Arabidopsis thaliana: one gene and its partners. The protein of the gene in region 3 purifies or fractionates together with the protein of the main gene of each other region. This does not show direct contact. Each region holds a gene or a part of one and is shown on either strand. Other genes may lie near its edges.

What was found.
Region 1: the proteins of AT1G78850 (region 3) and AT2G26380 fractionate together in Arabidopsis thaliana (co-fractionation; one large-scale study listed by BioGRID). This does not show direct contact.
Region 2: the proteins of AT1G78850 (region 3) and AT1G33670 fractionate together in Arabidopsis thaliana (co-fractionation; one large-scale study listed by BioGRID). This does not show direct contact.

What each region holds. Positions count from the first base shown.
Region 1 is NC_003071.7:11,221,534-11,232,417, forward strand, and holds AT2G26380 (Leucine-rich repeat (LRR) family protein), read right to left. Parts: upstream 6,591-10,884; 5' UTR 6,525-6,590; coding exon 5,082-6,524; 3' UTR 4,955-5,081; downstream 1-4,954. Other genes in the region: AT2G26360 (Mitochondrial substrate carrier family protein), read right to left, coding at 70-393, 468-701, 788-866, 948-1,066, 1,150-1,255, 1,326-1,627; AT2G26370 (MD-2-related lipid recognition domain-containing protein), read left to right, coding at 3,103-3,202, 3,871-3,990, 4,077-4,252, 4,394-4,519; AT2G26390 (Serine protease inhibitor (SERPIN) family protein), read right to left, coding at 7,554-8,342, 8,578-8,958; ARD3 (acireductone dioxygenase 3), read right to left, coding at 10,589-10,777, 10,882-10,884.
Region 2 is NC_003070.9:12,195,956-12,206,159, reverse strand, and holds AT1G33670 (Leucine-rich repeat (LRR) family protein), read right to left. Parts: upstream 4,198-10,204; coding exon 2,830-4,197; 3' UTR 2,752-2,829; downstream 1-2,751. Other genes in the region: AT1G33680 (KH domain-containing protein), read right to left, coding at 472-582, 686-757, 824-901, 1,003-1,188, 1,280-1,803, 1,903-2,104; AT1G33640 (uncharacterized protein), read left to right, coding at 10,190-10,204.
Region 3 is NC_003070.9:29,637,521-29,648,333, forward strand, and holds AT1G78850 (D-mannose binding lectin protein with Apple-like carbohydrate-binding domain-containing protein), read right to left. Parts: upstream 6,016-10,813; 5' UTR 5,878-6,015; coding exon 4,552-5,877; 3' UTR 4,340-4,551; downstream 1-4,339. Other genes in the region: AT1G78830 (Curculin-like (mannose-binding) lectin family protein), read right to left, coding at 1-988; AT1G78840 (F-box/RNI-like/FBD-like domains-containing protein), read right to left, coding at 1,770-2,072, 2,165-2,305, 2,390-2,932, 2,965-3,297; AT1G78860 (D-mannose binding lectin protein with Apple-like carbohydrate-binding domain-containing protein), read right to left, coding at 8,648-9,979. UniProt on the Arabidopsis thaliana protein: May be involved in a cell-to cell programmed cell death (PCD) signaling mechanism.

The DNA of each region.
Region 1 (10,884 bases), on a different chromosome or scaffold from region 3:
TCAAGATTTAGAATACATAAACATGAAATAAATTATTATAACACAAAATGTTGGTCTAGTTTTCCAATCTTACTCACTATGCACTGATTGATTCAGAGGTGTGATCATAGCCTTTTGAAGAAGTTCATAGCCAGCTAAGTTCAAGGCTCCGAGAGGAGCAGTCCAGAAAAACCTTGGAACAGCTCCTTTGTAGAAAGCAAGAGGACCCTCATGTGTGAGAATTGAATAAGCAGCCATCAACATCGACAATTCCACGCCTTGTGGAGCCGTCATCATTCTTGTTTTAATCACATCGAATGGCGTTGTTAAAACTGCAGTGAAACCACCGGACAAGGCTCCAACCGCGATGGCTTCCCACGGCTCCAACTCTCTTCCTAATTGTCTCTCCACCACCTGTGAAACTCAATCGCAACCACGTCTTATTAATTACACAAAGACATGTCATTGTTCTGTTCTATCATGATTACCTTCTTTGATTGGTTGTAAAGTCCCATGCCAGCAACGTAGAAGGGAACCTCACGTAGAAGGGTAACACCGGTCCCACGAAAGAGTCCTTTGAGCCCTTCTTGATGCCAAGTCGAAACTGTAGCTTCCACTATGTTATCAAACTGGTTGGCTTGTAACCGTTGTTTCAACACTTCACACGGTATTCGCAACGTTGTCCCCAATACCGTACCAATAAAAGACGCGATTGACTGAACCTAAAATAATCAAGAAGCAAAAAAATTCAAAGAACGAAACATTATGTAGCAATAAAGTTGGCAATGAGCTTTTTACAATTACTAACTTGAATATCAAGAAGAGTAGGAGCAACGAGCGGTAACGCAAGTTTACTTGCTTCATATATACTTGTTCGTAAACCATGACTGAAAAATGTTTAAACAAGAGATGAAATCATGATAATGCTTATAACCAATAACCACAAGGCAAAGCATAAGAGATGAAACCTAGCAAATTGACCAACAACAGCCGGAATCGAGCCTTTGTATAAACCTCGAGCACCAATCTCTGGAATCTTTGACAATATTTCGAGAAACGACAATGTAGTTGATGCTTGAACTTGTGTCTTAATGATCCAAGACAAATGTAAGTAATCAGAACAATCTCATAAACACAAAAGAAGAACCTGAAATGAAATTACCATTATACCTTGACAGTATCCACTGGATGCATCAAAAAAGCAGAGAAAGCACATGAGATTCCTCCAGCTAATGCAGATTTAAGAAGATGACCAACATCTAATCCAACTCTTGTCCTAACAAAACATGTAGTTTAGACACAAATGTTTTAAAGAAAAACAGTATCTACAAGGTTCTTGTCCTCACCCAGTATCAAAGTTCTTGCCTTTAGCAACAGCTTCATTGATCAATGGAGCAATTTCATTGGATCTTGAAGTAAAATTTCCAACTTTTGCAAAATTTAAGCTAACTATAAAGCTACACGCATCTGAATTCGATTTTCTACGGAAACAAGAGTCAAGCTTTTGAGAATTTAGAAACAACAAATCATTGAGAATAGAGAGAAGGAGAGATTCAGGTGATACATGTTTCCTCTTCGGAGCTTTATTCACCATTGTTGATTTCAGTGGATCTGTGGATAAACCTTGAAAACTAACTCTGTTCTTCATCCGTCATTAGAGGAAAACAGAAGAGTGATTTAAGTGAGATTAGTCAACGTTTGATCCAAATAGTGGTTTTGATTATCGAATTAAGCCATTTTTGTTAGTCTTTGTTTAAAGTATTAGTAATTTAGTATACAACAACAACGCATATGAGGTGTTCGACGAAATGACTGTGTTAAAACAAATTGAGATGTGGGACTGAAACAAAACTAGAGGTAACTATTTTAACCAAAGATGTCAAAATGAGTAACCTTACCCAAACCCACATGGATTTGAGATTTTAATAGACGAGTTTGACCCAACCCATGTATTTATATAAGTTGAATTTATATACTCAAATCCACAACCATAAAATTTATTGGTTTAATTGGTTATATTGATATCTAGATAAAAATAAAAGAAAAATTTATAAGTAATAAAAATCTAAAAAACATATTATAATAAAACCAAGAAAAAATTTCAGTAACAAATTAAAAAATATCTAGATATTAAAAAAAAAAAACATCTTAAAATCCTAAAGTCCTAAAACCACAAATCCAAAAAAACACAAAATCATATATATATATATCATAAAACATGTTATTCATGCCTACTATTTTTATAGTCTATTAGATTAAAATATTTTGCTTAATTAGTGGACCGAATCAAAGTAATATCCAGATATATTTATATGCTTCGTTAAAAGCGAGATTTTAGAATATGACTTTAGATGTCATTTGTATTTTTAACCAAAATATAAATAAAATGTCATTGGTATTGCCAACTATGACCAAATTCTTCAATTCACAGGCATGTGTGAGTTCATGTCGAAGAAATTAAAGATTCACCTATTTAACCGGTGGTGCATCTCAAAGTGGGGAAACAAAAACCTCTAATAATGAAAGTATTTGCCAGGTTGTGTTTAGCTTCGACCATGTGGTTCGGGTATGGTTTATTTTATTTTATTACTATTTCATCTTATCTCAAAAATAAGATTTGTATGCCATGTTGCGTTAACGTTGACCATTTAGTTCCCCAGTATATGGTTTAAGCGCAATGTATATCTATGCATACATTTTTGTTTTTTCGGTTTGTGATCGGTTTTAAATTTTGTATGATGCTAATAACAGTTGTGTTTTGGAAATCACGCCGAACCAACAGACATGGTCGCAGTCAAACAACTCCATCTTTGGGATTTTTTTTTATCTAAAAGAATTCACGTCCTTGTATATAAAAGGTGGTAATATTTGAAATATTGAGATTTCAGGCAACACTCATTTTTTTAAGATTCTCACGTATAAATTAGGATTATATCATATAGGAATAAGTATAACGTGGAAGATTATTATATAGGGATGAATCATCCACTAGTTAAGCAGAATATTATATTATATAGACTATATAAAATACTAGGCATGAATGAATTTAAGCATACGTATTACAGACTTGTTTGTCAAAACAAAACAGGCATTAATCTTTTTTATCTTTCGAAGATATAACCCATGGCGATATCTCACGCCCAACCTGTTCTGCTTCTCCTATCATCACTCTATTTCTTATCTGCTTTTGGCGCCGGCGCATACAATTTTGAAAACTGCAAAAGTAAGTATCGTTTTTGTTAAGTCTTATATTGTTATATAGAACATCAATTCTTGTTACTTGATAAGTCAATTCAATGAAAAGAATATGCCTGAATTTCATAGATTGTGGTTTGCTCCTATCTCTGTTTTTTGTTTTACCAAATAAATCTTGAACCGGAACTCACATTAGTCGTCAATTCCATAAAACAGAAATAGAGTATTTTGCTACTGTGAAAACGTTTATATAGAAAGAACAGATCAATGAAACTATGAAAGTACTCCCATCTATAAAATAACCCAATAATTGTGAAGTATTCACCGAAGACTTTTTTCTTTTTTTTTTCCTTCAGTGTGGTTTTCGAGAGCCGTGGTGTATAAGTCAAGAACTGAGTATTATAACTAAAATATTGCAGGTCCAGAGTTCCTCCAATATTCAAAGATAGATCAAACAATTTGAAATCTGATCGAAATTTAAAATAGATTTATCTTTTGTTAATCCTACAAATAAATAAATAAAGAAACACTTACCCCTATGACCCTATCATTTGACATACCAAATTTCCAAATAAAGAAATTTAGGATTTATTTTTGTAAGAAATTAGGATGTAGATCCAAGTTTTTTTTTTACCTGCCATGACTTACTGATAACTTCTACAATTGTTAACATGCTCTAAATCGGTGCGACTAAAGATGCACCTATTGACTACAATTACGGTATTACGAACGTCACACGTGTGGAGATCTCTCCATACCCTGTTGGGCCTTACGACGAGCCAACCATTACCATATCCGGCTTTACAAGTGATGATAGTACGTAATATTTTCTATTCTTTTAATTGTTTTCATTTATAGTTTCCAATATCTTATCTTGTAAGAAAATATATTTGTGTTTACAGGCTACATCATCTATAGAGCAACTATACATGTGTTGTATAAATATGAAAATGTGAATAGCACTATAATAAATTACGACCTCAGTGATGTGATGGGTGAGGATCCATGCTCTATTGAACCTGGCGAAAAATTTGTGTTAACTCTTTCCAAAGTTCCTGGTTTGCAGTCACTCCCTCATGTAAGTATTTTTTATTTTAATTTTTGGACAAACGGTTTCACTTTGATAAATGTATTTTAAAACCGAACAATCTAAAAACCACAATAGTATATTTACTTGGTTTGCCTGACGGTTTTTTTTTTCTTTCTTTAAACTAATTAGAAGGATAAGTCCAAGATTGTCATATCCCTTGTTGATGAATATGGTGATGACGCTGAAGTGCCACTGCTAAAAATGTGTGTTGAGTTCGATAACCCTGCTCCAACTACAACATCGGTCTCTGCTTGATTAAATCCAATTGGCTTATGGAAATATGTTTTCAATTCTTCATATGACACTCCCGTATTACTTGCATTTTTTTTTCCCTTTTCGTGTTGTTCAACAAATAAAAGAAATATTGAATTTATAGTTTTATACGACTCTCTCGTTAATTACTAGCATCCTTTTTATATTTCAGTAACTATATAGAAAAAAATTCTAACGCATTTGCTAAAAATAAGCTACAACAACAAATCTCTAGCTATGTTTTTATCGCAAATAAGCTACAACAACATAATAAGCTACATTTGCACATGAATAAACGATGCACGAATCTGTCTCACCTTGTTTTATACGTATAGAGCGCACTTGTTTTCTAGAAACTTTTCCATTATAATTGATTAGTTCAGAAAAAAATTAGAAGATTTGAAGGTGTTGTGTGGCGATATTCATATACCAAAATCAGTAACACAAAATCAGTAAATAAAGGAACTTAAAGAGAATACGAAAATTAAACAAAGACAAAAGAAGAATATGGAACTTGTGACACATGAAGTTCAAAAACAATATAACATGACGATGAATGAATCCATTAACCTTTACAATGACTTAGCGGGGAGCCGCATAGACAGTCGTTGCCGGCAAACACACTTTCTGGAAACTTTGTCACCGGAAGTTTCCCACAAAGATGGTTTTGACTCAAGTTAAGTGTCTTTAATCCGGCCACCCTCGCCGGCACTTTCCCGAACACTAAGTTCCTTGATAGATCAAGCGTCTCGAGCGTCGTCGAGAAACTTAGCTTCCTCAAATCGAATCGGAGTTTGTTCCCCGACATTCGAAACTCCCGTAGTTGCTCTGCTCCCTTCAAGAACCTCAGTGGACTCCCTGAGATCTCGTTGTCCGAAAGATCAATGGAAACGTAGAGATCAGTTTGCCTTGTTTTCCAATCGTCTAAGCTCATCTTGATTCCACATTTAGCCAACTTCAAAGAGCCGAGGATCGACGCTGAGGTCACCCATTCCGGGATTGTTTCCATGTGAAACTTGTTGTACGACAGATCTAGAGTCAAGATGTAATTCTTCACGTTCAAAACAGGGAATGGATTGGTTAGAAGATTGTGAGAGAGATTGATATTAGCAATTTTAGTCAGCTTGGCCAAACTCTTCGGCACGGCTCCAGAGAAACGGTTCTTGGAGAGATCCAGTGTGTCGAGCGCCACGAATCTTGATAAATAGCTCGGTATCGACCCCGAGAGATTGTTCTGACCTAGCTCAAGGAACGCAAGAACCGGCGCGAGCGATGCAATCGACGGAGGGAGCTTCCCGGAGAATCTGTTGCGTGAGAGAGTGAGGATTCGAAGGTTAGTCATTGATTTGAAAATATCCGGGATGGTTCCAGAGAGACGGTTTCCATCGAGATTAAGATTCGAAATGAGCTTGAGATTAGCAATCCCTAACGGTATTGTTCCGGTTAAGAGATTACCGCCAAGATTTAGGTAGTTTAACCGAGTTAAATTGGATATGGAACTCGGGATTGAACCGATGAACCGGTTTCCTTTAACGGTTAATGTATCTAAGCGGTTAAGCGCGCCGATGTTGGCTGGAAGAGGACCAGAGAGACGTGTATTCTCGAGGTAAACATACTTTAGATGTGGTAATCTGAATAAAAATGGTGGAAATGGTCCTGTGATGTTTTTGAGATTGATAAAGACGACCCCTTCCAAATGCTGGAGTTTGGCCAGTGACGGAGAGATTGTGCCAGAGAGAAAGATTCCGGCATCGTCGGACTCTATGCGGATAGTGAGTACGACGACACGGTTGCCGTTAGGGCAACTGACACCGTTCCAAGAGCAGCAATCAGTACCTTTTTTCCAAGTGCTTAGAATACCTGAAGGATCTTTGGTTATACCCGATTTAAAAGCTAATAGACCCGCCTCATCATCAGGATGACACGTGGCTGCTGCGGTGGGGTTTAAACACCGGAGAAAGATCACGGCGGTGAAAATGAAGAAGTTGTGGAAAGAACAAGAGTTCATGGTAGTGAATTTTATTTTTTGTAGTGAGGTTGAGAGAAGCAATTAGCAAACTGATAGCTAATTAGTCTAAAGAGAGATTAGACTCGACACCAATTAATATCAAATAGTCAAAGTTGACCCATTTGGACCAATCCATTTGCGCGTAACGATTAATACAGTGTAAAGATAATTAAATAACAGTATAAAACGTGACAAAAATAAAAACTATATAGCATAATAACTACCAATTATCTTTTGTCAAAAGGTTGTTTTGACAAAAAGGGTCTTTTGACATTATTTAAGATTATTTAGTATTTTATAGGAGGGATGTTTAATATTGACCGTTATAGGTTATAAACTCTGTAGAAAAAAGTATTCTTAGTAGTGACTTTTTGGTAAGATAATCCTTTTAAATGGTACTAATATAATGGGACAACATTTGGCATGTGGGAAAAGAAATATACAAATGAATGCTAAAAGGTACCGCTAGAGCCTAGAAGTTCAATATACAAATGAAAGAATATCAATAAAAGAAACCGAGGATAAAGCAAAAGAGAAAGGAGAGATGAATATTAAAACGCTAATTCATGATGTAGAATGTAGATGATGGCAATGTTCTCACCAAGATTGTCTGCCTTAAAGTCGGAAAAAGGTAGATTCGACGTAAACCCATATTTTGATAAAGGTTTATAAGACCAATATGCCATAGATTTAAAAATGATTCGGGATATATAAAAATGCAGAGAATATGTGTAATCTATTTGCTGAGATTTTCAAGATAAATTGCTCCGGATTGTAGTTCATTTGATAGAAAATGAGGACAATGGTTTCTAGACAAGAACGTACACTATTAGAACTTACACAAAGCAATAAAAAGAAGAAGAAGCAAACTTAGTTTCACCAAACCATAAATATAGACAAAATACAACAAACATATTTCATAATGTTTTCTCCAGCTAAGTAGGAGACACAATGGAAAAGCACACTAAGACCACGGGGTTTCCTACATTATTGCAAACCGAACAACGCTCATCACACGACATAGTTCAATCAATGTTTAGAAGGATCAAGAACTTGACCAATGAACAAAATTACTCCACTATTGTCTTCTCTCACAGTGAACAGAAATGGATGGTCAGCTACAAAATCCGGGTTCCGCATCAAACATTGGGGCATCATGATGGCAACAGAGACCGCTGCAGCTTCGGTTCCCTCTTCATCCACCTCAATGCAAGCTTTATGAATAATGCTTGAGACGTGCAGTTTATCACCGTTCGAAGGCGAATCAACCATCTCAGTTAAATTACCTTTGGAAGTAAATGGAGAAGTAAGCCCCATGTCTTTCAAAACTTCTGAAGCTTTAAACTCAAAAGAGAAGTTCAACTTCGGAATTCTCAAAGCATCGACTGGTGTACGGTGAAGTGGAATATGGCTATCAAGAAATCCTGGTTCAGTGCTTATTTTCTCAAGCAGAGCAGCTAGTCCGTCTTTGTCATTAGGAAGATAAATGTACATGGAGAAATGACGTTTATCCTCTACATAAGGTAGGCGCAAAACTTGGAAACCATCATAGCCTCTTAGATATTGGTCCTTATAACTCATCATGAAGGGGACTTTTACCGTGTTACCGTCAAGAAGATGAAAATCGTTATCTTTTGTTAGTTTTGCATCAAATTTTCTACTCCATGCTGCTTTGAAGTACACTGCATTTGCTAGAATAAGTGTGCTATTACGGATCTCCTTGATAGTATCGGTACAATCGCGTGAAAGAATCTGCTTGATGAGTCCATTTGTGTGGACGTCAGCCCATATATTTACCTCATCAATCACTTCAACAGGCTTCATGACCAAGCGATAAAAATTGACCAATCATTAGTGAAGTTGGATGTCATATATACACAAGAAATTGAAGAAATAAAAAAAGAGAATGTGATATAGCCGTCTCCTTCGTAACCACATTAAACGTCTTAAATAACACGAACATTCACCTTTATATATCTATGTTATAGGGATTAGTCTAAGTTTCGGTCCCATAATAATTGAAGCAAAATTTATCCCTAACGAAAAAAGTTACCTTGGTTGCGAAGTCAACTTGACTACAAGAAGCCTTGTAGGAATTCTCCAAAAGCTCTTTAAAGGAAGGCTTCAAATAAGAAGACTTGTCGATCCAGACACCGTGAGCCGTAGATAAGCACAAATCACTTCTCTCGGTGCCGCCGTCCGCGATCTTGGCCAAGACCGCGTTAAGGTGATCCGTAGACGGTGACATGAGGAATGAGAGGATTTCTTCTTTGGTGACGGGATTAGAACCAGCGGCGATGAGGCTGAGCAAAACGTTGATTGACATCGGTGAAAAGACAACATTGGAGCCATTGGCGACATCTGTTTCAATGACTTTCTTTGCTAGTCTTGCCACGACGTTGTTTTGGTTCTCAATTGATTTTCCTAACTCCATTTTTTTCCAAGAAGAGGTGTACGGGAAGATATAAGAATGGTTCTGAATATGCAGATGTGATGATTGATGAAATAGCTTGTTTCAAGTATACTAGTAGCTATTTTTTGTTTTAAATATATTTTCTGCACATGAATTATTCAATCGAAATGATTTAGAAGTAATAAAGTACCGCGTGTGGAAAAGTCGTATCATGGACTTCGTTGGAAGTACTTGGCATTAACTATAAACTAGGTCTTGAAGTTTGGTTAATTTATGCCTTATGGGTCAATTTACTTGGAACAACTCTCTTTTTCATCCTTTTACCCATAAGGCATATGCATAAACCAATTGTTCCAAATCGATTTTATAACTCTGGGAGTTGCCATTTGGAACAACTCTCTTTTTCATCATTTTATATCTCAATCTAGGAATCTATCATAGCTTGGCTATTCTCTAAAGTAAATTTCCTTTTTCTTTACTTTCTAGCACTTAAATAAAACTCCAATGAGCTATCTTTTTCAGTTTAAAATATATTTCTATGTTAATTAGCTCATTTGAACATAAATCTTTCTTGCTTTGGTGTCTCCTACATGTATATTTTGGAACCGTCTGTCAATTGGATTGGTGGATTCCGACTCTTATATCAAAGAGAAACAAAATAAAAAAACAGAGTAATAATCTTATTAGAGGGGGAAAACAATGTTTTTAAAACCAAATCATTGCTAGAGAACGTGATTTCCTAGCGAAAGTTTACACTTTACACCACAATATATACTAACGTGCATGTGAAAAGAAAAGAAAAGAAAGAGAAAAAGGTTGAGATGAATGTCTGAAGCAGCCAAATCTTATACTCCCTCTGTTCTATAAAGTTTGATGTTTTGAGTTTTATTTTTGTTTCATCAAGTTTGATGTTGTAGGTTAATATTATTATTATTTTTATTAGTAACCAATAGAGAGAAAAGAGAAGTAAAATTTATATTATTAGATTAATAGAAAAGTAATAAAAATAATATTAAAGTTACATTTTTTAATTTGTGTGAAAAACCCAAAACATTATTTTTTTAGGAACAGAGGGAGTAAACATGAACTGGAAAATAACAAGACATATACTTGATGTGTACATGTATCGATTTCTTCTTCTTCTTTTTTATCTTTTTTTTTTTTAGTTAAATGTATCGATTTCTTAGTCACCAAGAGGCAAGAATATAACAAAAGACTAGAAATTCTTTTGTTTGATTTTATTTATCATTGGGTACAAATTCTAAAAACATGAGATTATGGATACTCCATAAGTAATGTGTTCAATTCAAATAATCATTTTATTTATTTACAGTAACGGATGTATATCATGTATTATGCATAGACACCAGTAGGTTGAGACTAATAGTGACCGATAGTTTTATATATTTTCTTGCTTTCATATATTGTCATTTTCCTTCTTCTTTACATTACAATCACAACAATAATGCCAAAAGACACATGAACCAAAATGTCTTCGGTTTCCATGTTGTAAACATAATAAAGCATAATTAAAGACAACATCTAAACATATGTTTAGCTTATAGAAATCTGATCCCCGAGAGTTCTTTACGCTGAAGCGTCTATGTTACGGTCCCCAATCACCTTCAAGAATTTTTTCATATACGCTTTCCTATAAAATAGCCGTTTGAATATACATAAACACTTTTGTCGCCTCTTTGCTTAGATATATAACTACAGATCTAGTAAGCTTTGTCGTGACAATATGGGAGAACAAGACATCATTGTACCTTGCAGGAAGATGGTCATGTGGGCGATTATAAGCAGTCCACACTGGTCCACCCACGAAAAGACGCATTGCCTGTTCAATATATAAGAAAATTCCAATTTTCTAAGCAACCAAAAATATATTACTTGAACCTTCATATAGTATGAATTAATAACTAGAAGAAGCTAAGATTGAACCTT
Region 2 (10,204 bases), about 17 Mb from region 3:
CACCTATTCACTAAATCAGGGGAGCCCGCATAGATTTGCACTGAACTTTCAAACTAAGACAACTTTTGCATATGCTTAAAGCAGGAAAACAGTAAAATTATCCACAATCAAATGACTATGCCCCAAAAACATAAATCAAATGTGAATCAGCATAAAATGAACAACATGATTAAGGTAATGGACCTATAGTTGATCATAGGTAACAAGCTAGTTTTTACAGAGATTGCATGCACGAGAAAATTAGCAAACAGATAGCGGGAACACGAAAACACAGATTTATCACCTTAAAAATTATGTAGATGCATTGGTGAAAATAAAGCCAAAATAAAGCAGTTATCAGGATATGATTATCAAACATTTCGGTATACCAGACATATCGTGCACCAAGATTAATGAAAACAAAGCAATTTACATGGTTGCAAAAACTAAAAGCAATGACATCGTTTTGAGAAAGAACATTAGAAGACAAACCTGGTACATAACATCCTTTATCAAAGCGGTGGCTATATCAATCTGCCTTTTATCACCAGAAATACGAACAGTTCTTTCCTTAGATGCATCACCTTCATTTTGTGGTATCAACTATATGAAAACTATTTTAGTCAGCTGTTACCCGTAACAAGCAATATTGTCACAATCTTTCTCTGTACTCTCCATACATTCAAGATTAAATAGAAGTAATCACCTGGATGCGTGCTCTCGACTTTGTCTGCATGTTCTTGATAGTCTCCCCACCTCGGCCAATAATCACACCAACCTGTGAGTTGAAGATGGATTAGTTATCACTTAAAAATGGCCAATCAGAACAGTTACCAGGGTCTACCTTATCACTTGGAACTTTAATCTCCATCTGTTCTGGGACCCCCCTTGCAGCAAGGGCAGGTACACCTCCTGCTTCAACCTGGGATTGCAGCAGAAGAAGAAAAATGTAGCCAACTCTTAGCATAGACAACTAAAAGATTGTGATTTAAAAAAGGATAATGTCAAAGAAAACTTTTAAACCTCTGCAATGACAGCATTGATAAGCTTCTCTGCTTTCTCGATACAAGAAACAGTTCCAATTATTTCCACCGGTCTTAAAGCTGAACTTGGATCAGCCTCTGCATCCCTCCGGATTTGGATTTTAGCACCAGAATTGACCTGAAGATACCGTACCATCTCCCCACCTTTACCAATTAGCGTGCCAACCTGTCAAGTGTGCCAAGATCACATATATTGAAGCCAAAACTCAGCAAAACTTACTCACTAAAGAGTCAAAAGCGAAACCAAATCAAGTCACCTTTGAACTCGGGACATCTATTCGACGAGTCGTGGACTGAGTATCATCAACCTCCTTATGAGTACTACCACCATTCACTTCTTTACTCTCGTCACCAATCTCATCATGAGAAACACTGCCATTCACTTCCTTACTCTCGCCACCAGCATTTGCTTCATCTTCCTTCTGAGAGTCACAATCAGTGACCTCTTTGCTTCCGTTTTCAACTTCTTTCTGAGCAACAACATCATTCGTTTCCTTACTATCATCCTCACCTTCATTCTGTGAACCGCTAATGTTCACCTCCTTACTTTCTTCAACAGAAACGTCCTGAGAGGTTACAACCTCAGGAGTAACTAGTTGGTTATCCTCAGGCTTACCGTTATCTTCCATCTTATTGTCCGATTCCTCAGCATCAATGGTCTCCTGAACTTTCTCAATTAAAGGATTACCATCTTGATTCTCATCACTCTGAGCAATGGGTTTCTCAGTTCCCTCCTCCTTGGATTCAACATCACCACTGTTTTCTACAGTTCCCCCAATCCCTACAACACAATGCCGTAACAACGAATATTAAGAACAAAGGTGAAATCTTTTCGATATGCATCCACCAAAATCCATACTTTGAAAGGAATCAGACATACCTAAACCATCAACAGCTTCATCGTCAAGCTTCGGTCGCTTCGGCTGACAATAATCAGATGCGTTTTTGTCATCATCTACAGAAACGTCATTATCAATCGAGCCGGCGTGTTGCTGCTCGAGGATCTCCGATTCGAGATTCTCAAGCTTGCGCTTGTGGTCAGATGGCTGCACGGGGATAGCGATAACCTCTTCCTCCGCCATGTGTTGAACCGGGAATAGTATAAAAACGCCTCCTTTGGTGATTTAATCGGCGACCTTGAAAACTTTAGGGCTTCGGAAACAGTGACTGGAGAGAGGACGGGAAGTGGTGGTGACGACTTGGGAGCAGTGGAATGGGAATATAGCTGATTAAAGGGTTTGTGGGCTTTTTAATGGGCCTATCGGACCTTACTATTATTCAACTTTTCATTGGCAAAAAAGGTAAAAGAGAAGTATTTAATTTAGCCCATGCACAATTAAATACAAGATCTGATCCGTTTACATTTCAAGTGTTCGACCAAATTTATAAGAACACTCAAGCATAACATATGCATCATTAATACAAGCCAACGTTACATAAATCGGAACATTTGTATTAGAATACTACTACTACTCATTAAATTTAATCATTTCGTATCATGTTGAGGTAATCATTGTCCGGCTCAGTGGTTCTATTGACTAAATATGAATTTCTTCGCTTCATGTTTCTCAGAGAGACTGTTTGGTGACCTTTCAAATGCCTTCAGATCCTCAATTTTGTACCAACATAACGACTGCATGGAAATAGTGCATAAGGGTTGAAATCATACTTTCACTAACATTCACTATAGTTGTAATGGAGCTTATTGGCATTGGGATCTTTAAATCACTTTATTATAGTCACACAAATTTTATTTGGAGCTACGTGTCATAATAAATCCAAATACAAAACTGTGCTTTTCTTGTCCCTAAGCTTTACAAGGAGAAAGTGGAAAGCCGCAAAGACACTTGTTATCGACAAAAGCACTAGCCGGGAACTTTGTCGATGGAAGCTTTCCGCAAAGATGGTTTTGACTCAAGTTTAGTGTCTGCAGTCTGGTCACCGTCACCGGTACCTTCCCAAATACCAAGTTCCTTGACAAATCCAGGGTTTTCAAGAAGATTCCAAACTTTAGCTTCCCCAAGTCGAACTGGAGTTTGTTCCCCGGTGCATGGAACTCCACCATAAAATCCATCTGGTTAAAAAACCTTATTGGACTCCCTGAGATCTCGTTTTCCGAAAAATCAATGTGATGGTAGAAAGAGGTGTCTGCTGGCATCCAATGGTCTAAGCTCATTTTGATCCCACATTTTGCAAGCTTCAATGAGTAGATGAACTTCGACAAGGTCACCCATTCGGGGATTGTTTCAAGGTGAAATCGGTTGTACGAAAGATGTAGATATTCGATGCCTAATGAGTTCAAGACAGGGAATGGACCGGTAAGCAGATTGTGGGAGAGATCAAGAAAGATAATGTTGGTCAGATTGGCAAAACTCATCGGCACGACCCCTGTGTACCCATTCCTAGAGAGATTTAATGCGGAGAGAAGCTCGAATCTCGATAAATAGTCCGGGATAGTCCCCGATAGCTTGTTATGGCCCACCTCAAGGGTAGAAAGAGTCGGTGCAAGAGATGCAATCGATGAAGGAAGGTTTCCAGAGAATCTGTTGCTGGAGAGATCAAGAAATCGAAGTTGCCGCATGGATTTGAATATGTCTGGGAAGATGCCAGAAAGGCGGTTACCGTTGAGCTTGAGTTGGAGTAAGCTAGTTAACTTAGACATCGAACTTGGGATCGAACCGCTGAACCGGTTTCCCGCCACACTCAAAATTTCCAAATTACTTAGTGCACCGATGTTGGCAGGAAGGGGACCAGAGAGACGGTTATTCTCTAAGTAAACAGTCCTTAGCTTTGGTAATTTGAAGAGGAAGTGGGGAAAAGATCCAGTGATCTTTCGAAGATTGGTGAGGCGAATCTCGTTGAGGTGATGGAGTTTGGCGAGCAACGGTGAGATAGTGCCGGAGAGAAAGGTTTCACCAACATCCGTATTTCCGTCTAATGCCATCATGGTGACGCGGTCGCCATGAATCGTAGGGAGGCAAAAGATACCGTACCAGGAGCAGCAGTCAATATCTTTCTGCCATGAGCTGAGAATACCCGAAGGATCTTGGGTTATACCCGATTTGAAAGCTAAAAGACCCGCTTTGTCATCAGGATGACATGTGGCAGCTCCCGTGGAACTTAAACACCGGAGAAAGATAACAAAGAGGAAGAGAGGGAAGGAACAAGAGTTCATGGTGTTTTGTTGAATGAGAGAAGTGACTGAAGTGTCGTCGACTCGAGGTCTGATTTCATTTCTATTCATTTTCAAACGTGTTTTTTCTTGCATAGTTAGTGGTGTCCGTAATTACAGCATGACAATTATCATTTTATATTCCCATGACAGGCTTAATCAACTCTCTGTCGGTAAAAGAGATACTCCATGATATAGACCTTAATTAACAAAATAAAGAGATCTGATATCAATGTGAATCTCGATCTTAAGACTTGACCACATGTCATTGGAATGGTAAGCGTGATATTGGTAATCCCTCTTGTATATCTTATTGACCTGTGATTTTTTAAGTATTAAATTAAGCTGCGAGATTTTGTTCAATATATTTTGATCTTATAATAGTATAATGCCTGTTCCGTAGAATACAAGCAACACGATTTTGAGGCATGGTTTGTTATCAGAGTATTGGAGAGGTTGTTTTCATATTGTTTAAGTGTGAGTTTAGAGATTTAAGACGTTGGTTTGTTTAAGAGATAGTCGCAGAATCTCTATAATGGTCTGTCTAATCGATTTACTTCTTATGATTCATTTCCTCAACCAATTTTCTTATGCGCTTCTTGTCTTTCAGGTTACTCCATTGGAGCTTTTTGAATCTTAGTTTGAGAGAGAGAAAGGATTGATCATTATATTACTGATTAACCTTAGTTTTCGACAGGAAATGCTCCTCCCGCCATAGGTTCATTTTTGGTTTATATTTTTGTTCAAATTTATTTGTTGGCTTATGAACATTAAGCTTTTGGATTCATTGTACTTTAAGAAATATTCTAGATCCAAAAAATGAATCATCTAATTGTTATTGTGTTCGTTATTGCTTTGTGTTCTCGTTAGAATGAAGGTAAGGGTTGTAATACTTAAGAATTTCTTAATGAACTCACTCGTGGTAGTATTCTCAAATTAAGTAAAGTGCACATCCAACCATAAGTAATATGTAATTTGAATTTTTGTTTTAAGTTTTAACGGACTAAAATTTTCAAATTAGGGGGAAAATTATAATTCAAATCCAAATCCAAATGGGTCTAACGGAATAAAACGGGGTATTTTAGTATTTTCGTATCAACTAGCTTTAGAACACTCACTACAAATATAATTTTCTGGTTCCATTCATTTCATCACCGACTCAAAAAATACTTCGTCTCTACAATTCAAATTATCAAATTCTTCGGAATCAACTTGTTTCGGCTCCAGCCGGTGATGAATCTGGGGATGAGAAACGAAATTGGGGAGGAAATCCTTGTCACCGCCGTCAAGAGGAGCGTGTGATTGACTCGGTTTAAACCCTCCGATATTACGCAAACAATCAGGTATATAATAAACCCAATTCTGATCGATTTCAAGTTTGTTTTTGATTCATCGGTTGTTTCGTTTACTTCATAATTCTCTTCCGATTATTCAGAACATAATTGTGGAATTGAATCTTGATTACAAATCCTTGTGATTAAGCAAAATAAGGTTAGGAATCACAAACCCCTTTCTTCGGGTTTCTTTGTTGATCCATTTATAGTAATCAATCTCTTAGCAATTTAGTAGAATCAGTGAATTTCGTAGTAGTGTGATGATTCTGATGATGATGATCTTCATTTTGTGTTCGTTTAGTACTAGTTTCAATTCAATCATGTAGGTTATTGAAAAACGTTGGTTACATGTGTTTTGATTAAGAAAATCTATCCATTTAGAACCTCTTGTGATGATTTTTCTCTGTTTAGTGATTCAGTTCTTTGGCTCTAGTGTTTAGTGTCTCCAAGATATTACCTGATTCTCTAGATAATGTTTGTCTATTTCTCCATTTCAGAGATGATAGGCTCTACCGCTCTATCTTACTAGTTGATGACTTACTAATAAATGTCATTGCTTTCAAGTGCAGAGAACCATAGAGAGACTATTTCGCTAGCAAAGACGTACAATGATTAAGGTGAAGTCTCTCTTTATCTCTCTCCTTTACCGCAATTAGACAGGTTTTTTTCTGCAATTAGCAGCTCCATAACAATGTATATTACCTGTTTAGAAAACCTGAGCAGAGCAAGCAACCAAATGTTAGCAGCGAGGATTTTGTATGTTTTGTCAATTTTGGTTTTATGATCATTTAAATTTAAATATTCGTTCTATGTTTAAGCTGCGTGTTATTAACAAGGTTTCTTTGGTTTCAAGAGCTTTCTAATGGAATTTTTGACAAAGTTTCTCAGGATGAAGGATTGTTTAGCTGTAAGGAAGCTTTGAAGACAGTTCAGTAGCCACAAAGGTATGGTTAAGTAGCTCGCTCTCTCTCCCTCCCACTTATCATGTCTCTTGCACTGTATCAAAAACAGAGCATAAATCCACGAAAACCTACACATAAACGCACAAAAAAAAAATCAAACACACATAACTATTTTAAAGTCACCAAAACACAAAACGAAATTCACACAAATAAAAAACATAGCACACAACGTCCAAAACACACAACTTAAAGAAACAGAAAACAGAACATAAATCCACGAAAAACCACACTCGAACATACACAACAAATCACACACACAAAATGAAATTCAAATGCACAAACAAAAAACATAACACACAACGTCCAAACGCAACTTCAAGAAACATAAAACATACTTTAACATGATTTTTTTTATAGCAAAAAGTGTGAATAATCACATTTGATGGCAAGAAATTGCGTTGTGAGTGTTCCCTTATTTCTTACTTTCTTATCTACTTGCTTTATTATAGCTTGTACTAACTTATATATTTGAAAAGTACACGAGCATTGTTTGCAGTTTAAAACAGGTTTTATGAAGAAAGAGCAAAAGTTTCAGATGAGCTTTAATATACTCATGACTGACAAGGTAATCTTGTTAAATCTTTTTCATCGTTTTAAACTCTTTTCTATTAGAACCAATGGGAGTTTATGTAAAACCACTTTAATCTCAGAAGATAGCTCCGACCGGGTATCAAAATTTGAGAAAAAGGTTAGTGCTTTATAGCATTGTGTGTTTTCTCATATTTAAGTTGTGTGGTTCTGTCTGTTTGATGTAGATATTGTTCCTTAATTGATGTGTTTCTTGCTGGAATATTTTGTGTGAGTGTGCGGATGTAGGAGTTGATAAAGAGACTTGAATAAGGTAAGCTTTCGTGACGAATTGGTAAATCATTTTCTAGTTTCGTAACCTTGATTTATACTGAAATTCACAGTTATCCATATCAATGCAGTTCTCGCCATATAAAGCACAAATTCAACGTATAAAGGGAATAAGGTTTGAACTAATGATCCTTGAATAATGGCTGGTGGACTTGCACTGAGAGGTACACTTTCTTGTCAAAACCCCTGAACCGTAGTCATCTTTTTAAGACAATGTGTGTCTCTACCAATTTCTGAGGCTTTTTAATGTCCTCTCTGATTCCAGAGTCGATGACCAAGACATTTGTCACATTAGTGATCGTTCTCATTGTGCCTTAGTTGTGATATGCATAATTCGAAAGGAAACAAAAATAAGTAAGCACATTTGTCTCCGTTTATTGCTAATTTTTATTGGTTGTGATATGCATCATGCGTAAATAACTAACTATATCAGTGTGTGGTTGGTTTCTAATATTTAGGTTCTCATGGCTGATCTGATTTCTTCTGCAGATGGCACTCTACTGGAACTTACGATTGTCAGTCAAGAACTGGAGGTCCATTCAGAACAATGAGGTTTGATGCAGAGCAAGTTAATGGAGCCAACTATGGTATTCAAATTGCTCTTAGGTTGCTGGACCCCATCAGGTAGCATTCCCTACTATCTCTCTTGCTGATTGATTTTAGATTTTTGAAAAGTTCTAATTTGTTGACGGTGATAACTTTAGGGTTTGGATTCTAACTTACAATGTCTTTTTGGTGAGAAATTGATCTTTCAGGTGCTGTGGCCGTTGAAGTTACTGGTGGCCCTAAAATTCATTTCCACCCTTGAAGAGAGGTTAATCATTCCTGAGAGTGTGTGTTCTGCTTTCTTTGTTGACATGGCTGATTGATAATTTAGACATTCTCTCAATACTTGTAATACTGAAACGCTGTGGGACTTGATTGTCTGTTTCTAACATGCATATCTTGCTTTCAGGACAAGCCCCATACACCTCCTGAGGGTCGTCTCCCTGATGCTACAAAAGGTTTTGATCTGTTGAGAGATGTATTTGCTAAGCGGATGGGCTTGTCTGACAAGGACATTGTCGCTTTATCTGGATCCCACACTCCTATTTCTCCATCTCAGAGCTAACAACCCTTGTGAAAAGGGTCACGTAAGATGTAGTTAAACTTTACAATTCCGTAATTTTTTACTGGTTTAGTTCAGCCTTTTGCATTTTATTTGCTCTATGTTACTCTATTTTGTTGCTGACTTAGTAATAAAGATCATTCCTCACAAGTGAAGAGATCCTTAAGTTGCAAAGAACAAAAGGGAGACTATTCGCTAGCAAGGACATACAAATGTTAAGGTCAAGTATCTTCCTCTCTCTCCTTTACCGCAATTAGATACGAAGGATATAGAGGCTTGCACTATCCCAAAAAAGTTTACTTCCGTACCATTCTATATCTTAAAAAACTTTTGTCGGGTTTATTTTTTATCTTTGAATAAGAACTAGATAAGGTGAACTAGAGAAGATAAAGCTGACTTGAAATTTCCAGCAGCTTCCAACAATGTATATTACCGTTAAGATAATATGAGCTGAGGAAGCAACCAAATGTCAACAGGGAGTATTTTGTAAGTTTGTCATTTTTGGTTTTATGATTTTCTGAATTTAAGTTATTCGTTCTATGTTTAAGCTGCGTGTTATTAACAAGGTTTCTTTGGTTTCAAGAGCTTTCTTCAGTTGAAATGGAATTTTTGACAAAGGTCCTCAAGATGAAGGATTATTTAGCTTTAAGGAAGTTTTGAAGACAGTTCAGTAGCCAACAAAGGTATGGTTAAGTAGCTCTCTCTCTCCCTCCCGCGTATCATGTCTCTTGCACTGTATCAAAAACAGAGCATAAACACATAAACGCACAAAAATAAAAATCAAACACACATAACTATTTTAAAGTCACCCAAACACAAACGAAATTCACACAAATAAAAAACATAGCACACAACGTCCAAACGCAACTTAAAGAAACAGAAAACAGAACATAAATCCACGAAAAACCACACTCGAACATACACACAACAAAATCACACACACAAAACGAAATTCAAACGCACAAACAAAAAACATAGCACACAACGTCCAGACGCAACTTCTAAAAACAGAAAACAAACTTTCACAGGATTGTTTTTAACAAAAAAATGTGAATAATCACAATTGATGACAAGAAATTGTGTTGTGATTGTTCCCTTATTTCTTACTTTCTTATCTACTTACTTTATTATAGCTTGTATTAACTTATATATTTGAAAGCACACGAGCATTGTTTGCAGTTTAAAACAGGTTTTCTGAAGTAAGAGCAAAAGTTTCGAATGCGCTTCAATATACTCATGACTGACAAAGTAATCTTGTTAAAAAAATTTCATCACTTTAAACTCTTTCCTACTAGAACCAGTGCGAGTTTATGTAAAACCACTTTAATATATTCAGGAGTTCATCATTAACTTATTCAGGAGTTTCAGTTATAATCTCAGAAGATAGCTCCGACCGGGTATCAAAACTAGAGAAAAAGGTTAGTGCTTTATAGCATTGTGTGTTTTCTCATATTTCAGTTGTGTGGTTCTGTCTGTTTGATGTAGTTATTGTTCCTTATTTTGTGTATGATATCCTTTTAATTGGCTTAATTGATGTGTAACTTGCTGGAAAATTTTGTGTGAGTCTGCGGATGTAGGAGTTGATAAAGAGACTTGAATAAGGTAAGCTTTCGTGATGAATTGGTAAATCATTTTCTAGATTCTGAACCTTGACTTATACTGAAACTCACGCCATAAAAAGCACAAATTCAACGTATTAAGTGAATAAGGTTTGAACTAATAATCCTTGAACAATGGCTGGTGGAGTT
Region 3 (10,813 bases):
GGACGAAGTAAGTGGAGAAGAATGAGAAACTCTCTTCCCATTTGAGATACGTAGCTGCTGGGAAATACGAGTAAGCCTTGAGACTCCCGTCAGATCCGAGTCTTAGATACGAAATCGTTCCGTTGTAATTGATTTTGTTCAGATTTAAAGTTCCTCCTCCGCTTCCGATTGGTCTGACTTGGAGTAACCGGCGGTTATTACCCGGGTTCGTAGCGGGTTGTGGTGCGGGTTCTAAGAGAAGCTCGTAAGCTGACGGCTCCGTTAAATTATCGAATTCTCTTGTAACGGCGAAAGTGACGGTGCCGCGGAAATCGTGATCCGGCCATCCGCCGTAAACTAACGGCGTACCGGTTTTGTTAACGTACATGGTTAAACCTTTTTTGTCCAGCACCATGCTGTACGGACCATCTGAGCCGTTCGAATCAGATGTACGGCTAACGAGTTTGTTGACTCCGTTAACTTTTAACGATTGGCCGGTGAGGAGTGTATCGGTGGGGTGATCGAAACTCTGCCATACGAATTTGCCGTTTTTGTCGTGTAGGACGATGTTTCCGTTGGGTAAGATTTGGAATCCGGTGACGCCTTTGTTAGCTGTGTTAGTCTGCCATTTGACTCGTCCGTCAGCTTCAGCGAGGACGAGGTTGCCGTTACGGCCGAGTGAGAGTGTAGCGTTTTCTCCGACGGGGTTGTTGCGATTCGCGTCCCATATCCAACGCATGGTAGACTCGTCACGCCTGAGTCCGACTCGGAGAGCTAAGATGTAGGCGCTAGGGGTAGTGTTGTAAAACAAGAGCTGGAATGGTGATGTGAAGAAGCTCTGGTTTGATGATTCGATGAATCTGTAACTTGCGTCGTACTCAGTGATGTATTCACCGAATTCTCCTTCGTTGACGACTCTGAATTGTTTCTCCGGAGGGACTTGAGCTATAACCACCGAAACAGTGGCAATGGCAAGTGCCAAGGTTACTAAGATAGCAAATCGAGACATGATTTTGTTTTCTTGTGTGAGTAAAGGAGTGAGATGATTATGTAGAAGATGTATCTTGTGTTGTGGTATATATAAGTTGTTTAGCTTTGTAATATTGGCCGTATTCGTTTGAAAAGTCAAAGTTGCTAATTGCGACTTGACTAATTAAAGAAGAAGAGATCAAGCAAATTGGTGCTGTACAATGGAGCCGATGGCGACTTATGATTTGGATAAGGTTTGTCTAGTGCAGATTATCGAATATTCGTCATAACTATTTTGCTTTCTGAATATCATATAATTTATTTTCTTGTCGAAAGAAAATGATTAATCCTTTTATGCATTTATCTTAATACTATCATTTTCTAGAAGACTTGAAACCGGATTTTCTGCCTATGAGAGGATAATGAGGATTGGTAAAATATCACAGCACCGTCTTGGTAAAATAGACTTGAAGCTGTGAGTTTAGTTAAGTTTTGAAGAAAAAATGTAGTTGTGGATTTTTCTTAGATGCCACTGCGAGGGGCCAAGATTTGGCTTTTTCATTTAAAAGTTTAAGTACACGTATCTATGGGTAGCAGAGATCCATGTATCTTATTCTTTACATGTGCACCAAACGAAACCCAAACAAATAATGGCTGACAAAGATATCTACGATATCAATAATATTGCGGCATCTTGAATTTACCAATCACATAAATCTTAAAATTTTTAAAAATTACGATGTCTAACCGGAACAAGTGTGGAAACTAAAAACACCTAAGAAGCATAACGTTTACACTTGTGCTTGATCCTCACAACAAGTTCAAAAAAACGACGAATGAAGAAAGACTTGACAAGCAGAAGAAAGCTTTGGAAACGCAAGGATTTGCTTGCTAAGTTGAAACCTGTGTTCTTCTGCCCATAAAATGAATCGAAGAGTAAGCTCCTTGACAACTGCTGCATTCCCCAGGATGTATTTGACAAGCTCGGTTTCGACCTGATTCTCAACCGAGCTGGATATCATAGCTGTGCTGTATATCGTAACAAACTTGAGCGATATTAGCAGACACTTAGGCATAGTTGATCTTGAGATATCCAATATATCTAGACGATGATCGTGAACCCACTACATAATATCAAGGACAAGAAACGAAAAACGTAATGAGAATGTATAGTTTAGTTAAGTAATTCAAGAGTTACTTATAAAAATAAAATTACCAACTCTAGAGATTTTAGGTTTGGACAGCTTGCGAGAAACGTTGGTAACAACTTTAAACAAGAGGAGTCCATCGAAACTTCCAAATGGGTTAAGTTAGAGAACTGAGGCAATGGTTCCGAGCTAGAGTAAGCATACATAGCCTAGCAAAAACCAAGAAGAATAAATTAGTAATAAGTTTTCGAGACAGATTAATTCAGGATGAATAGTTACAAAAATATACATACCTCTAGACAACAGTAATTGAGTGCAAGATTTGTGACATTTGATATCCAAGCAATAAATGTACGCAATGTTTTCATCGTCAATGAGTTAATAGGATTAAACTCTCCTTTAGAGATACTAATATCCACTTTGAGCGGAGAACATACACTATTCAGCACAAGGTCTTTAAACCGGTGGATTTGAAGATTCAGAGACTTAAGCCTAGGAGCATCAATCACTAGCCCAATTTTTGTTAAATCTTTGTTCCAATCTAAATCTCTTTTCCAAATACGCATTCTCAAGCTATATAGTGTCTGAGACCGCACTCGTATAACTTCCACATTCCAAACTTTTTCAATGTACAAAACTTGAAGAACTGGGGAGGATGAGATAAGCCTCTCTAGAGCCGCTTCGCTCGAAAACCAAACCGATAGTAAATGCATAGTCTCAAGACGAGGTAGAGAAACGGAGTCAAAACTATCAATGCCTACCTCGACCAGCTTCAAGTGTACCAATGTTTCACACATAGAAATGCTTCCCGGAAGTTTTATGGGACAATAATTGTTCTTATGCAAGAACCAAATATTTTAGCAACAACCACAAGATGCTGAACTCCACGGGTAACCACTGAGTCGACCCACTTGTTGAAAAGGGATCCTTCAGTCTCATACTTCCTGCCGTCAAATTCCAACTTCAATTGGTATATGAGTGATTTCTTATCCAAATCTAGAAACCTGTTGACAAAACCCTTTAACCCCTTGTATCTGAAGTTAGTTTGGTTAAGGTCCAATCCAGGAACACGTTGCCAAATATATCTCCATCTCGTGGACAAGATACTGGTTTTAACAGAATCTTTCGTCGCAAGTTTTAGGAGTATCTCATGCAGTACGTGGTCCGGCAATAATTGGCTAATCAAATCTTTGTTTTCCATGTGATTTCGTCTTTTGTAATCGTGACGCTTTTGTTTAGAGACCTCAGCAATGATGTAATGCTGAAAAATTAAGCAGAAAAGCACAGATCAAGTTAAGTAAATTCATAGTAGAGAGACTAAGAAGAACAACGAGAGAACTGACCTGCAGCGGCGCGATCCGATCACAGATAATGACGATGTAAAAGCGAAGCGATGAGAGATCGTCGGATAATTGACGACGGTGGCGACGCTTTCAAGTTTTTTTTGGTTTTGGGAAAGCGGTTGAAACGTAAGAGGAATATATTAATGGGCTAAAACGTGTCCTACAGGCCCAATTAACTGAAAATATGATTTATTAATACATGTATGAAAATCCTAACATGTACTTCTGTTATACGGCAGCTTGCAAGCCGACTTTGTAAATGAAAAAAAAAAAAAAAAAACTAGCCGAAAAGGTGACGCGGCGCTGAAGCATCGTATCACGCATCTTATTCTATCGACCATGATGCAATTGCAAATTCGCGATCCCATCTTTAATTTTGAAATATTTAGCTACGTAACAAAACTATTCAATACAATAATCTTTACAATCAATAATTAATTCCTCTGATGTATTACGTGCACTTGGGTCTTCTGCGTTACTGACAAAGCATAGTATTTTATGAATTACTCACTCCCTTTTTTTTTATTTGTAAGATGTTTAAACAATTTTGTTTGTTTCAAGTTTCTAAATTAAATCTGTATTTATTGGGAATACAGAAATGTTTAAAATCTGTCATTAGAACAAGAATTATGCAGTATTTATTTTCATTGGTTGAACTAGTTTTCATGATGCACAAAATAATAGTTTATTAATCTGTTTTTAGTCAAAAAATCTTATATAAAGAAATTGTGGGAGTAATAGCACCTCCAATGGTGTATCTTAGGTGTATCTTAGAATAATATCTTAAAATTAAACTATAAAAATTAAATCAAAATAAATTTAAAAACTAAGATTTGCTTCTTAGCTAAGAAGTTTTCATGAGTGAAAAAAACAGTTACATGTCATGTTTTAAAATTTTAGTATAAATAATTGTTAAGATGTTTGGTTAAGAACCAATTACTTCTTAACCATTGGGGATGGTAAGATATATCAGAAATTGATTCCTTTCACTTCACTTTGTATTAGGATTTATCTTGAGAATCAGTACACCATTTATTTTTAAAAAGGTACACAAACGAACCTTATTAAACACACAACACAATAATTTCATATATATATATGACTTTCAGACCTCAAAGAGTTGACTTTTTGTTTGCATTAGGAGCTTTGACATAAGCAACCAGGGAAGAATCTCCGGTTCTAGTCAATGTCTTGAGCTCGTAGCCCAACCAACACCTCGAACTCTTTCTATTGTAGAAAAACCCTAAACATTTGCAATCTCTCGTACACTTGTCCCCACACGCACTCTCCGTCGTCGATGATCCACCGTTATATTTTGTCATGAAACTATCAGCTCCTTCGATCTTGAAGTAGTGAAATGTCTTGGGATCGCAACTTGCGAGACTTGGAGATTTACATGTCTCGTCCCAACCAAGAAGCCCTTTGTCGCTAGGACAAGCGTTACACTGGCCTTTCTTACACAAACCAAACCCCAAACAATGCTCAGGGATCCTACACTCGTCGTTACCGTCAGTGTCGGCGTTGGTAAACGCCGTGTATGTCACGTCCCAAGCCGTGGAAGTCGCCAACGTACTGTAACTCCAAACTCTGATGTTTCCGTCTGATTCTAACCGAATAAAACTCAACGTCGCGTTGTGTTTCGGCCGTGAGAGGAACGTTGAAACGTTGAATTTAGAACCAGAATCGACACCTTCCATGACTAGACCCCACGTTGTGTCGGAATCTTCCACAGCTTGGAACGTCATTGACTGGAATTGTGTTATCTTGGTGAAGAATTCGTATTCAAAATAAGCGATTGGTTTCGGAGTTTTGTTTGTCGTGTAGTACAAGACTAGCTTCTTGGCTTCCATCACGAGACTGTACGGTCCGTTTGTGTTGACAGATGGAGACAGTCTGCTTACGAGTTTGGTCCGACCGTTGAGTTTCAAAGACTGTCCAACGAGAAGTGTGTCGGTGGGAGAATCAAAGCTCTGCCATACAAATTTTCCACTGGAATCGTATATTACCATATTGCCATTCTCCAAGATTTTGATCCCCACGGCGCCTTTGTTAGCTGTGTTCGTTTGCCATACCAAGCGTCCATCGGCTTCAGCGAGTACGAGGTTTCCGTCTTCGCCAAAAGTCAACGTCGCGTTTTCTTTGACCGGTGAGCCTCTGTTTGCTTCCCAGACCCATCTGAGAGTGGATTCTTGGACTCTGTTTCCGATTCTGAGAGCGAGAGTGTATGCGTTTGGGGTTGTGTTGTAGAAACAGAGACGGAAGTTGTCACTGAAGGGTACGAAGCCACGTACGTCGGGGTTGTATTCGATGGGACTGTAATCGGTGTAGCCACCTTCGTTGACCACTCGGAATTGGTCGTCGACTGGAACTTTGGCTTGTGATCCGATCAAGAAGATGGAGAGAGTGAAGCATAGAGCTAATGTGATTGAAAATTTCATTTTGTTTTTGTGTGTGTTAATGGATTTTGGTGTGTTTCTGGTAAAGAGAGAAAGCTTCTATTTATAGGAGGAGCCAAGGAAGTCTTTGTTTTTTTGTTGGTTTTATAATATTTTAAAGAGTATTTTGAACGACTTTTTGGTCTTTGTTTCGCTATAATCTATTACTTTTGCTGGTTTTGTTTGATTTTTTTTTTTTTTTTTAAAGGATATGTTTCGAATATTTTAGAAAGAGCTTATCTTAATCTCAATGCTAAACCGTGCACGATTAGCAAAACCAGTCAACCGTTACAGTTTGCTATTAATTTCCCTAGTAATTTTTTCTTCTTAGATTTATATTTTACAAAAAAATTAATGTTGTTTCAGTAAGAACTTCTATAATACTTTACCGATTGAATCCGGTGTGAAATTCAAAAAAGAAAAAATAGTATCATCAAAAGTATGATATGTTTCTCTTACAAAGCGAGTTGTTGGTTGATAACTATACTTTCTTACACTGCATCAGCATTAGTTAAATTGAAATTACTAGAGTTGCGTATTGAATCGAACGAAATAATAAATCACTCGTTTGAATGAGGACCCACCGACCAACAACTTTTAATTACGAGCCACCTGGAAGATGCTCATAGTCGATTCTCTCGTCTCGTTGGATTTGTCTTTAATATTTATTGACTCACGTCGCATTCGCATAGATTATAGATAGAATTTGATATATGATTCAGATAGAATTTGATATATGATTCAAATACATGCAACTTTATCTATCCTTATAGTTAATTGTCTTTCTGATATTAATCTGAACTATTCTGACCACTTGTTAATAAAGAAATTTGAAGGTGTTTTACAAAAATAAACGGACCATGGATAAATAATTATCTAATGTAAATGATCTAGATCGGATCTTTGGTGTGGTCATGTGTCCCAACTCCCAATACCCGGCGGCTTGCCAGGTGTGTGTGGGCACAGGTCTTATTCGACGGCTAGCTATTTTTGTTTTAAATTACTTTTGGCAACATTTTATTATTCTTTTCCGAGTCCATGTGCCAACTTGTATTTAGCATCTTTTTTTTTGTCCTCAAATCTTCTTATTACACAAGAAAGAAAATATAACTAGTTCCAAGTTACTACATGTCCTGTAGAATGTATTCAATCATACTTAGCTAAATTGTACACACTCCTACTAAGTTTGTTTTCCACGTACATATATATATAATTACATGCTGTCTAGAAAGAGATACGATGTCTTTGGCAAGAGTTTTGATAGAAGTTTTGCAGTTAGCCCTGTGTTTTTCTTGACTGGTGACAATCATACAAATTAAGCTTTGCCATCTCCAACAAACGTTACCTCATAATAACCCAAGTTTCTGGCTTGTTGAACTTCCATTAGTAAAGCTACTGGTTTTGCTTGAAGTGGGTTCTATTGAAGAACTACCTTTAATAATTTGATGGCCTTGTTTGTTATGCATTTATCATCAGATTTTAGCTTTCATATCTGGTGATTCCCGTGAGGCATCAACAAAACAACAATAAGTTTGACTTCTTAATTAGCCTTTTTAGAGCGGCATCATTTGGGAACCAAATCACCTCAAAATGCATTGTCTCGAGACGAGGTAGAAAAATTAACTCATAGCTATGCATATGTATATACTTCAGCTCCAATTAATATGCAATGTTTCACAAATACAAATGCTTATGGGCAGCTCAATATAGTACAACAATTTGTCACCCCAAAGTCCCAAACCGTCATACTAAATGTTCAGTTAATATTTCTATCGTTTATTTTTCGTTCTTTATACATTATATTAGAACCGACTCTTTGGTTCCAAATGCTAAATTTTTACCTCTAAAAATTTCTATTCATAAACAATGTTTCTCTGGTTTTGGCTTTTATGCCATCGATTTAATTAGACCAAATCAGCTCACAAAATGAAGAAAAATGAAGATTAGTGTTAAGTACTGTGTACCTTTTGTTCAATAATTAATTATTATGTTTGGGTAAAAAAAATCGATAATATATGCAGTAGAAAGCATTTGCTTGATATGTATAAACTATAAATAACACCTGGCATCTTTCAAGTTGACTTTTAAAAATCAAAGCTAACAACGAAAACGATGTAAAGTTATTAGTCTGCATGATTTAAGACATTATGTACATGTATAATAAATATATAAGAGCGTTGACTGGTCAAAAAAAAACGAGACAGATGACCATCTCTGTTAAGGTGACGCGGCGTCGAAGCGCCGTAGCACGCATCTTATTCGTATCATATTTATACCGCTTCTTTAATAATCCAAATTAAAAGTTTGAATCTTTCAATGGCTTGTCATGAGAAGCAAAGTGTTGTGTGCACGTTCTACTGCATTGCATCAGTGTCTAATAAAAATATAAAACATTTTTTCACAACGGAAAGTTAAGGTTTTTCTTGAAACATTACCTTCAAAATATGGTCTCAAGCTAAAAAAAAAAGAAAAACAGAAAACATGAAAGCTTAAACTCATTCATGATTCAATTTCTCAATTCAATCCTTAAGTATATCATATTTTGTGATGATACTAAATTAATGAATAATTTTATTTTTTTTGGTAAAATAATGAGAATAATTGAATTTAGCTGATGCGTTTCACTTCAATTTATTACGGTGTAGCTTGAGAATCAACATGCAATCATAAAACAAGATAAACCAATAGCAACACTTTTTCAGAAAAGAGAAAACAAAGGACAACGTAGCCTTATTATTCGTCAAAACGACACACAAAAACCTTTGTTTACGCTTCAAATGGCAAGAGCTGACTTCTTGCTAGCATTCGGAGCCTTGACATAAGCAACTAGGGAAGTATCTCCGGTTTTAGTCAATGTCTTGAGCTCATAACCCAACCAACACCTCGAACTCTTCCTATTGTAGAAAAACCCTAAACACTTACAATCTCTCGTACATTTGTCCCCACACGCACTCTCCGTTGTCGTTGATCCACCGTTATACTTCGTCATAAAACTATCAGCTCCTTCGATCTTGAAATAGTGAAATGTCTTGGGATCGCAACTAGCGAGACTCGGAATCTTGCAAGTCTCATCCCAACCAAGAAGCCCTATGTCGCTAGGACAAGCGTTACACTGACCTTTCTTACACAAACCAAACCCCAAACAATGCTCAGGGATCCTACACTCATCGTTACCGTCAGTGTTGTCGTTAGTAAACGCCGTGTACGTTACGTCCCAAGCCGTGGAAGTCGCCAACGTACTGTAACTCCAAACTCTGATGTTTCCGTCTGACTCTAACCGAAGAAAACTCAACGTCGCATTGTGTTTAGGCCGCGAGAGGAACGTCGAGACGTTGAATTGAGAACCAGAGTCGACACCTTCCATGTGTAGACCCCACGTGGTGTCGGCATCCTCCACAGCTTGGAACGTCATAGACTGTAACTGAGCTATCTTGGTGAAGAATTCGTATTCGTAGTAACCGATTGGTTTTGGAGTTTTGTTTGTCGTGTAGTACAAGACTAGCTTCTTGGCTTCCATCACGAGACTGTACGGTCCGTTTGCGTTGACCGATGGAGAAAGTCTGCTTACGAGCTTGTTTTGACCGTTGAGTTTCAAAGACTGTCCAACGAGAAGCGTGTCGGTCGGAGAGTCAAAGCTTTGCCATACGAATTTTCCATTTGAATCATATATTACCATATTGCCATTCTCCAAAATTTTGATCCCCACGACGCCTTTGTTAGCCGTGTTCGTTTGCCAGACCACGCGGCCATCGGCTTCAGCAAGTACAAGGTTTCCATCTTCGCCGAAAGTCAACGTGGCGTTTTCTTTGACTGGTGAGCCTCTGTTTGCTTCCCAGACCCATCTTAGAGTGGATTCTTGGGCTCTGTTTCCGATTCTAAGAGCGAGAGTGTATGCGTTTTGGGTTGTGTTGTAGAAACAGAGACGGAAGTTGTCGCTGAAGGGGACGAAGCCACGTACGTCGGGGTTGTATTCGATGGGACTGTAATCGGTGTAGCCTCCTTCGTTGACCACTCGAAATTGGTCGTCGACGGGAACTTTGGCTTGTGCTCCGACCAAGAATATGGAGAGAGTGAAGAACAGAGCTAATGTGGTTGAGAATTCCATTTTTTGTTATGTGTTTTTTTGATGAATGTTGGTGTGTTTTAGTATACTGAGTGAGCTTCTTTTTATAGGATGCAATGATATGCTTTTGAAACCTCGTCACTTTAGCAGGTGTATATTAATTTATCAATGCTATTCGGTGTAAAGTGAAGTGAAACAAACTTGTATAATAATTTGAAACAACTTGTATGATAATCTATCGATTCTTAACAGGTATAAAGTGATAATTTTCATTTTAGTCAATATTAATTATACTTGTTTTGTACAAAGTAACATGTTTCTTGTATAAAGCGAGTCAATATTAATTATACTTGTTTTGTCAGTTTTCAACTATAGTTTTTTATTTATTTCTGTAGCACCACAGCAACATTAGTTGGAATTGGAATTTTGAAAGGGTACGTGAGCACTTTGATATAATGTGGACCAATTTTTAATTACGAGCCACCGGAATTATGCTATTGGTCGTCCCGTTGGATTTTTGTTTTAATTGTTTATTCGACGCATGTGATGTGAGCATAGAGATAGCCTATTTGATATAATATTTTAAGTACATTATTTCATATACCGTTTCATTGATTTTTTTGAAATTACTCTGAACCAATCTGTTTGCCTTATATCAATCCATTTTCGGAAAATCGCCACTCCTTCCAAACTGAGGACCATACAACGTTATACCAACGGATCCGATAAGCTGCGTTATCTACACTTGGTTATTTTAAAATTAATTAACGTTTTAATGAGTTTGCGAAATATGGATGCGAAACAGATCCTCATTTTCATTTTCTTCAGTTGCTATGTTCCAATTTTTAGTTTTCTGAGTTTGATCACCAATTTTTT